2 linked regions of the Caenorhabditis elegans genome follow. The protein of the gene in region 1 interacts with the protein of each later gene in a biochemical or structural test. Each region holds a gene or a part of one and is shown on either strand. Other genes may lie near its edges.

Evidence for each region. Proteins that work in one complex are often made in the same cells at the same time.
Region 2: of the proteins of rhi-1 (region 1) and ced-10, one has a biochemical effect on the other in vitro, tested with the Caenorhabditis elegans proteins (one study listed by BioGRID).

Annotation. Positions count from the first base shown.
Region 1 is NC_003284.9:4,505,765-4,510,911, reverse strand, and holds the start of rhi-1 (putative rho GDP-dissociation inhibitor), read right to left. Parts: upstream 2,404-5,147; 5' UTR 2,397-2,403; coding exon 2,301-2,396; intron 690-2,300; coding exon 436-689; intron 385-435; coding exon 159-384; 3' UTR 1-158. UniProt on the Caenorhabditis elegans protein: Regulates the GDP/GTP exchange reaction of the Rho proteins by inhibiting the dissociation of GDP from them, and the subsequent binding of GTP to them.
Region 2 is NC_003282.8:3,507,064-3,511,436, reverse strand, and holds the start of ced-10 (Ras-related protein ced-10), read left to right. Parts: upstream 1-1,909; 5' UTR 1,910-1,943; coding exon 1,944-2,048; intron 2,049-2,328; exon of another isoform or gene 2,329-2,478; intron 2,479-2,836; coding exon 2,837-2,928; intron 2,929-3,195; coding exon 3,196-3,381; intron 3,382-3,865; coding exon 3,866-4,058; 3' UTR 4,059-4,373. Other genes in the region: tsg-101 (Tumor susceptibility gene 101 protein), read left to right, coding at 1-245, 833-963. UniProt on the Caenorhabditis elegans protein: Required in engulfing to control the phagocytosis of apoptotic cell corpses. Required in embryonic development for the correct positioning and orientation of the mitotic spindles and division planes in blastomere cells.

The sequences.
Region 1 (5,147 bases):
AAGGGGAGAGGCATCACACAACACAACTAGTGCATCAAAATCAATAATAACCATAAAACAAGGAAAACATTTGGGGTGGGCGGTAAATTGGAGAAAAAAGTCATTTTCATTGAGAATTTGAATATAAATATGAGGTTCAGTAAAGGCGGAAAATTATTCTACTCCTTGGTAATGTGAAGGGTCCATTGCCAGTCAAGATACACATTGTTGTCATCGTCGGTAATTTTCGAGTACACCTTGTACTTTCCACGATGCATCATTCCAGACGGAGCTTCTTCGTTTGGTGATTTGTACTCCTGAATCTCAAGTTTTGGCGCGTAGCTTCCCATCATGTACTTCTCATTCTCCACAGTGATACCGGATCGTTTCACCTTATGTTTGTAGCTGAAACAATTTATTATTTTAAGTTAAGATTAAACACACAAAAAAACTAACTGCAATCCGGACGTAATTTCGCGTTGCACATGGAAAGCAAAGCTTAACCGGTAATTGGAACCTTCTTTGATGGAAACAGACAAGTCAGAGTTGACAAGTTTTGCTGGATCCGATAAGTCAAATGATTGCGCAGTTTTACCATTAATGAGCAGCTCGACGGATCGGACAATCACGCGGAGTGGGTTCTTCTCGTCGACAATGACTGTTCCTTGGCCGAGAAGTTTGGCTTTGTACACTTTTAGAGACTCGTCCTCCTGTAAAAATTTCATACTAAAATGTGATTGTCATTGGATTTTTATAAAAGTTTATTAGGGTTAATAGAGACCAAAATTGTGGCACATTAGGAAAATTCACAAAATGCCCTTTTTCTCATTGTTATGTTGAAGTTTTTCGCTCGGAAATTTGTATAGAAATGTAACAAATAGGGGTGGCTATAGGTCGACCTAGGTCGACCTGCGACCTAGAGGGTTAGGTCGCATCGCGACCTAGGTCGCATTGCGACCTGCGACCTAGCGACCTAGGTCGCATTGCGACCTGAATTACCGACATTTTGTTCTCTTTCGGTTTTGATTCACTTGAGTTGTTAAAATCCGTATAACTCGAAAACTAAAGATTGCAGAATATGTGTATTCCACTAACATTTTCTCTATTAAGATTTTATAAGTTTATGCGTAGTTTTTTTTCAAAAGTACGGAACAAAGAATTCATTTCTACAAATAAAACCATGCATTTCAGCAAATTGTTTCAAAAAGTTCACGTTTTTGTGGTTTTTGTTGTTTCTAAAATTTCATTTTCCACTTTTCGAATTAAAAACGTAGAAAAAAGCAGAAAATCCGGCGGATGTCGGCTGTTCTAACTTTTTTCGACAAGGTGTCTTATGGATAAGAAATCGAAAACAATGTAAAATAAATGATTTGTAGCAATTTGTTAGTATAAAAAATGTCAGTACTTCAGGTCGCAAAGCGACCTAGGTCGCTAGGTCGCAGGTCGCGATGCGACCCAGGTCGCGATGCGACCCAGGTCGCTAGGTCGCAGGTCGTAAAGCGACCTAGGTCGCTAGGTCGCAGGTCGCAATGCGACCTAGGTCGCTAGGTCGCAAGTCGCAATGCGACCCAGGTCGCTAGGTCGCAGGTCGCAATGCGACCTAGGTCGCGATGCGACCTAAATGAAAACAGCGACCTAGCGACCTAGGTCGCACTCTTGCCACCCCTAGTAACGAATATATGCATTTTCCAAAAATAACTCTCCTTTGTATGAAAAGTTTTGGGAAAGTGTTCAAAAACTATCTCAAGGAGGAATATACAGATTATGAGACAGTTTTTGAGAAACTTATCAAAGCTATCGTTGTTTTTGGAAAATACACATATTTCTATATACATTCTCAAAAGAAAACTTTGACACAACAATCAGAAAGAGGTGATATTAGTGTTGTGCCGATAACATTTTAACGGCAGTTCTTTCTACTAATAACAAGTTTCAGGTAGTTTTCAACATCTTGTTAAGTTTTTCTACAAAAGTAAATTTCATTTTCAAAGAAATAAAATATTTTCTATATTTCAGCATTTACTTAAAAATATTAGATTGTCATACCAAAACGAGTTTGCCGGGGTGAATTGCCGCCCGTTGCACTACCTTTTGATTCTATTTTACAATTATCAAACCTAAAACTCGCAGAACACTGTAGCCTGAATGCAAGGATTTTGTGTTTTGAACGTAGCTTGGCTCGGCTTTCTTTGTTTCAATTAACTACTTTTTATTAATAGATCGAAGGCCAAAGCTGTCTTGTGATCAGATTCATCAATCCACATCCATTAGCAATTTCGCAAAATGTTCAATTTTTTTTGTTAAAAATAAATTTAACAAACCTTGTCAGCATTGAGAAGCTCGTCGATGCTCTTTTGTGGTGGTTGCTTGTACTGATATTCGGAGGTGTTTTCACCAGTGTTCTCGTGGTCAGACATAATTCCGCTGAAAAATGGGGGGTAAGCGCTGTCAGAAAAAAGAAGAAGGGAAAGAACCAGAATATTCGAAAACCCAAGAATCGAAGAATTGCAATTATGAACGACTTAAAGAAATGCGAATAAAAATGCGGCCAAAAATGAGTGCCTACGACAAAAACGATTCTGAGGGCAAAGACTCGAACGGTCGAAACCAAAATCTTGCGACAAAAAGAGAAAACGTCCAAAAAAAATAATGGGGCAAATGGGCAACTGGAAAAATACCGGAAAAGAAATTTCATAATCAAACCGAACAACCTCGTTCGAGACAAGAAGAATTAGACAAACACACGGAGAGGAGGGCGAAATGGTTGAACAATGTCAATTTGTTATCTATCCCACCGTCTTTTTCTACTCCTGTGTGGTTTTTCGTCTCCGCCTACTTTTTCTCTTCTTCTTCAAGACAAATTGTTGGTAAAACAGATTTGTGAAGCTTTCTTCTGATGCGATTTCTTTTTTTTTTTTTGCTGGCGTCGCCTATATCATTTGTTTCCATGTACAAGATGGAAAAATCCAATTTCTGGATATATGGGAAAAATACTAAAATGATGCTAAAATCACTAAAAAATTAAAATAAAACTATTCAAAATAATTTGGAAATTTTTTTTATTTCGAATCAAAAACCAGTGAAAACTCAGTTCTCACCAATTTTTTGAATGTCGTTTCTGATTTGAACAGTTCTATTTTTCAGAAAGTGGCAAAAACTTATGCCACTTTTTGACTGACCTTTTTGACCCTTTAAGCATATGCGTATTGTCGAAAATTGACGAAAGAAAACAAAAAAACAAGTTGCCTTAAATCAGTCATTGTAGAAACATATGACATACTGGAGGAGCCAAAAATTCAAGTGATGAGAAGTAGAACAAATGCAACGTCAAGCAAAATAGTCTTCCCTTATCAATTGATTCGTTACTCTGGGAATTTAACAAATGACTCATCATGTTGCTTGCCCAAGAACAAGAAAGGAAGTCGTGCTGCTGAGTAATCGAAAACATTAGAAATTAAACAGAATGATAAATTTCAAACTTTAAATGAACAATTGATAGATTGAAGAGCGAGTTAAAGAAATAACGCATATCATGTCAAGTATTAGGAATCTTCTCGCCCACTAAGAGAGAGAGTCACAAACAACAGACAAATAAATACAGTTCGAGTATGGGTGGATAGTGAAATGAGAGAGAAAAAAGTAGAGTGAGTGACACAAATGAAACACACTCACACTCACACACACACATAAACTTGTGTGTGTGTGTGTGTGCGTGGAAAAATGTTTGTGGAAAACCGAATCGTCGAGGGAGTGGCGCAAGGAAATCGCTGATGGTGGGCGATGATGGTGGTGGAGGAGGACGAGAAGGTAAAAATGTCAAAATCGGGCATTCTAGGGCACCGCTGTGCACTGATTGCGAGGAGCAAGTGAAGCAAAAGCAGTGCGAGAAAATACAGTTCTCGTTTGTTTAAAGTATTTGAACGCGGTTAGTTTTTGGCTGGGAAAGAGAGAGAGAGAGAGAGAAAATCAAAAAGCCTAAGAATTGGACTAATTCAAAAACGTAAAATTGGAAGTGTTGTGAATTTTAACACAGATATAGTGTGGCACAAAATAATTATATTTTCGAAAATTAAAACTTTAAAACAATTCAGTTCCACACCTAAACAAGTTATTTCCACACCTCGGAAATAAAATTGAGGTGGTTACTAATGGGAAACAAATATTTGAAGATCTCTAATGTTATTAGGAACATATATTTGCCAGTAACTTTTCAATTAAGAAAATGCAATGTTTAAGGCCACCCAACCATTGTACCACTGAAAGTCGAAAAAAGAACATTATTTTGGGGAGAGCAAAAAGTTTGTTCAACCGAGAGGAATAATTTATAATCTACAAAAAGAACCTGGAGAACTTTTGAATGCATGTAACTGCATGAAACAAATGAAACAAATAATTTCTAAACGTTTTGCAAAAAGACAACAAATGAAATTGTTTCCAAATTATTTCTGTTCTTAGGGATGGTGTGTTGACAATGGGGAAACTCTCAGGAAATGTAGGTAATAGTTCAATATTTTAACAAATATGAGAAGAAAACTGGAAGCTTCTATCAATAGTGCAAAAAAAAAACTATACAGAAAGTTTTCCAAACACGAAGAGCACAATTACAAAAAAACACAAAGTTGTACAAAATTCAAATTCAGTCTGTTCAGAAAATTTCGTCGATTATGGTGGCAAATTTTTCAATGCTGACGAATTTTGCCAATTTTGCCAAAAAATCGTTCCTGTTTCAATTAAACCTATCAAGATAAATCATTTGAGCACACAAGTTCCTGATAAAACTTATTTCTGGTGCGTCCAAAAAATCATTTCAACAATTTCAATTTTTTATGGAACAAGATCACTGCTTTGATGATCGCTCGGAAAAACTAACTAACTGAAAGCTTGGAAAATAGGCGGCTCGGGTGCACATAGTCCAAGGTGTCATATTGCACCGAGAAAATTATTCTAGAATAGAAACTGGGCAGCCAGCGCACAGAAACAATAAAAATCTGAGCAACTAAAATTTGGTTTTGGTTTTGCAATCAATTCTAAATTCAATACATTTTTAAAACCAAAGTGGAGGAAAAGTGGTGAAATTTGAGAAAAGAGAAATCGAAAGCAAAATTGGCTCGGATGAAATGAGGGCTTTTATGTGTAGTTCTCAATTGATTGGAAAAATAATTTCCAAG
Region 2 (4,373 bases), on another chromosome or scaffold:
TCGTGAAGGACAGCAAAAGCTGAAAAGAATGCTCGAAGAGCTCGAAACTCAACGGAGCAGCCTTCAGACCGCCTGTGAAATCTATACGGCAAAGAAAGCAGAGCTCGCGAAAGCTCTTTCAGACGCTGGAGGCACTGATGCTCCACCAATTGATGAGGCAATTGATGCCGCTTTTCCGTTGCACCGACAAATTGTGCTCAATTATGCGAAAGATTTGACATGTGATGACGTCATTTATTCACTTGGTATGGAACGAAAAGTTGGGAAAAATTGGAAAAATCTAGCTGGAATTGCTCAATCCTGAGGAAAATGTGCAAAAATTGTTTTCAAAAAATGCAGAAGTTGAAAATTAAGAAAAACTAGTGAAAATGTTTCAAAAAAATTAAATTAAAGTTGAGATTTTTCGAAGTTTCTGAGAGATTTGAAGCCAAATTAAAAGCGTTTTTCTGAAATTTTTCAACGATTTCGTCTATTAGCACTACTACAAATCATTCAAAAACCCCCGAAAAAAAACAGAAATTAGTTAAAATTGACTTTAAATTCTAGAAAATTCACAAAAACTACAAAAAATTGGAAGTTTCTGAACAATTTTCAGCCATTTTTACTCCAAAATTTTGTTGAAATCGTTCAAAAATCAGTTTCGGTTTTATTTTAGCAAAAGTGTTTTTTTTTTGCGGAAATTTGATAGAAAAATTATTGAAAATGACTGAAAATTGGAATTTCAGCAAATTTTCGGTGTAAAAATTTTTCCGAAATCCAGCAAAAAAAAAAACGAAAAAAAATTATGGTATTTATGAGAAATTTTTTTTTTGCCTAATCTTCAAAATTTCAGGTCAATCACTGAAAAAACGCCAAATAACACTTGCCGAATACCTCCGCCATGTTCGTGACGTGTCCCGAGAGCAATTTATCTACCGAGCAACAATGCAGAAATGTCGACGAACTGCTGGTCTTCCTATTTAAAATTTAAATAAAATTTGGATTGAAAATCGTGGAAATTTTTGAGAAAAAATTGCTAATTTTTTGACCAAAACTGGAAAATCGTGAAAAATTGTCCATAAAAATGCTAAAAATTCGATAAAATTCTCGATTTTTGGATGAAAAATACTTTTTTCAATAAAAAGTGGGAATTTCAGCGATTTTCTGACGAAAAACTTAAAATTATTGCTGAGAAATCGAGAAAAATGCATTTTTTTAAAACGATTTTAGCTAAAAATTCCATATTTCATTTATTTTCCTGATGAAAAATTGTTTAACATCAAAATTTCGGTGCTTTTCCGTGATTTTTCAAGTTTTTTACATGTTTTTCCGTTAAAAATTCACTTAAATCTTCTAATTTCAGCCGAAAATTGTAAATTTCAATAATTCCCGTTAAAAATGATGGAGCTTCTATTGAAAATTACCTCGAAAAAAGCTTTCTTTTTTTGACGATTTTCCAGCCGAAACATGTAAATTACGACGAATTTCAGTGACTTTTTTGTCAAAAAAATTACGGTTTTCACTCATTTTTCCATCTTCTCATTTCAAAATTTCTCCCATTGCCGCCATTTTTCTCTAATACTCCCTTTCTCTCCGTCTTGATGCCCGTTGTGATTTGGTTTGTTCTCTCTCTCTCTCTCTTTTTTTCCGTTTTATAGACACAATTTTCTAGATTTTTCCCCATTTAAAATATCCAATTTTGCACCCATTTCCCCATTTTTCCCGGGGGAAAAGCTCGCTTTTCTCTCGAAATTCGATGACTTTTTCAGGTTTTTTGTTCATTTATTTTTTGTACAAAAATTTTAATTTAAATGTGATTTTTCCCCCCATTTTTTTCTGATTTTTTCGCTCAAAATACCGTGATTTTTGGCGGTTTTTCAATATTTTTGATAGATTTTTTTTGTTGCTATTTTTAAGCCAATTTTTCCAGCTTTTTGTGCTTGTGCTCGCGGAGCTCCCCACAAATGCAAGCGATCAAATGTGTCGTCGTTGGTGACGGAGCCGTCGGTAAAACGTGTCTCCTGATATCCTACACCACAAACGCATTTCCCGGAGAATATATTCCGACGGTGAGTCATTTTTAAAGCAAAAATTGAGATAAAATTACGTTTTTTGGCTCAGAAAATAGGACATTTTGACACAAAATCGAAAAAAAAAAACAAAGAAATTTAGGCAAAAAATATTCAAAATTGTTGTATTTTGATCCAAAAATCATTGAAATAAATATTTTTTTAGGCCAAAAACTGGGAAAAATAGTGAAATTATCAATACTGAAAATCGTGAACATTTTGATTTATAAAACATTTAAATAAAAAATAATTTAAATTAAATTTTTTTTGCTAAAAATCGTTTTAAAAAGTACATTTTTTTAATCAAAAAAATAAGTGAAATTTCACTGAAAAGTATGAAAATTAAAACTTCCGTTTTTTACGGAAAATCTAGACAAAAAACTTTTCAAAATGCGATAAAAAAGTTTTCTGCAAAAATCGTTTTAAGAAACACATTTTTAGCGAAATTTTGCTGAAAAATATGAAAATTGTCAACTTGTTCCCATAAAAATCAATAAATTAATATTTTTTATACCAAAAGCTGGGAAAATGGTGAAATTTCATATAAAAATTGGTATTTTTATTTGAAAAAAAAATGTCGAAAATTTCAAAAAACTTCAGTTTTTTTAAACGGAAAATCTAGAAAATTTTGATTCAAAAAACTTTTAAAAATGCAATAAAATTGTAGGCTTTTTGCAACAAAAAAATTGAAAATTTTGAAAAGCGCACAATTTCCCGCAAAAAATATGAAAGGTGTCTTCTTTTTCCCAAAAAAATGCTTTTTTCCCATAAATTCAAATTTTTTCCAGGTATTCGACAACTACTCAGCAAATGTGATGGTCGACGGTCGGCCGATAAATCTCGGGCTCTGGGATACAGCTGGACAGGAAGATTACGATCGGTACGGGCAGCGGGAAAACTGAAAATGCTCGAAAAAACTCAGGATTATGGGTTTTTTCAATAAAAAATTGCTCAGGATTATGTGATATTTTCCTCAATCAAAATGTGGAAAATATCACATTTTAGAAAATTTCATCCAATTTTTCATAAAATGACAGTGATTTTGAAGCTATTTTGTGGTGAAAAACTCGAAAAACATGGAATTTTTCGCACTTTGCACTAAAAATTACCCCAATTATCAATTTTTCAACACCAAAAAAATTTGCAGACTCCGACCACTGTCATATCCACAAACAGACGTGTTTCTCGTATGCTTTGCCCTGAACAATCCGGCGAGTTTTGAGAATGTTCGTGCGAAATGGTATCCAGAAGTGTCACATCATTGCCCGAATACGCCGATTATTTTGGTTGGAACGAAAGCTGATCTGCGTGAGGATCGAGATACTGTTGAACGGTAGATTTTTGGAGAATTTGAGAGAAAAATTGAGGAATAAAGTGAAAAATTTGTAGAAAATGATGAAAAATTGCCAAAAAATTCGAAAAAGCGCATAAAAATTCAGAAAATCACTTAAAAATTGAAGGAATACCGCCAAAACATTAGAAAAATCATTAGAAACGGCAAAAAAATGAGAAATAAGGAAAAAACGCATCAATTTCAGGAAAAAAAATTGCAAAAATTGTATGAAAAGTTGCGTAAAATAGCACAACATTCACATAAAATTTTGGAAAAAAATTTGCAAGATTTTGAGAAATTTGCTCAAAATGTTGAAAAAAAAATTAAAATTAAGATAAATCGCTAAAGAAATGTAAAAAGTTGCACTAAATTCGCATAAATTGTGGACAAAAGTTTGAAATTTTGAAAAAAAGCACATTAAACAAAATTGGCTTAAAATCGAGAAAACTTGCAAAAATTCCGAAAAAAAAAATTTTTTTTGCAGGCTCCGCGAACGCCGGCTCCAACCAGTGAGCCAAACCCAGGGCTACGTGATGGCAAAGGAAATCAAGGCTGTCAAGTATCTGGAGTGCTCGGCGCTCACGCAACGTGGTCTGAAACAAGTTTTCGATGAGGCGATCCGAGCCGTGCTCACGCCGCCACAAAGAGCCAAAAAGAGCAAGTGTACGGTGCTCTAAGATGGGGAAATTGGAGCAAACAATCGCAGAAACTACAACAATTTTAACTATATATATACATATATCATCTGGATTTTTTTTGTTTTATCGATGAATTTTGCTGTGAAATTACCGGTTTTTAGGGAGTAAAAATTGGCAAAAACTGAGCATTTTTAGGCAAAAAACTCGCCGATTTCCGTTCAAAGAAATGCTCCAAATCGGCTGAAAATTACTATTTTTTTTAACCGAAAATCGGCCAAATTTCCACTGAAAAAGCTCAATTTCAGCCGAAAATTTCTCGATTTTTTTCCAGAAAATTGTCCAAAATCTGGGCGT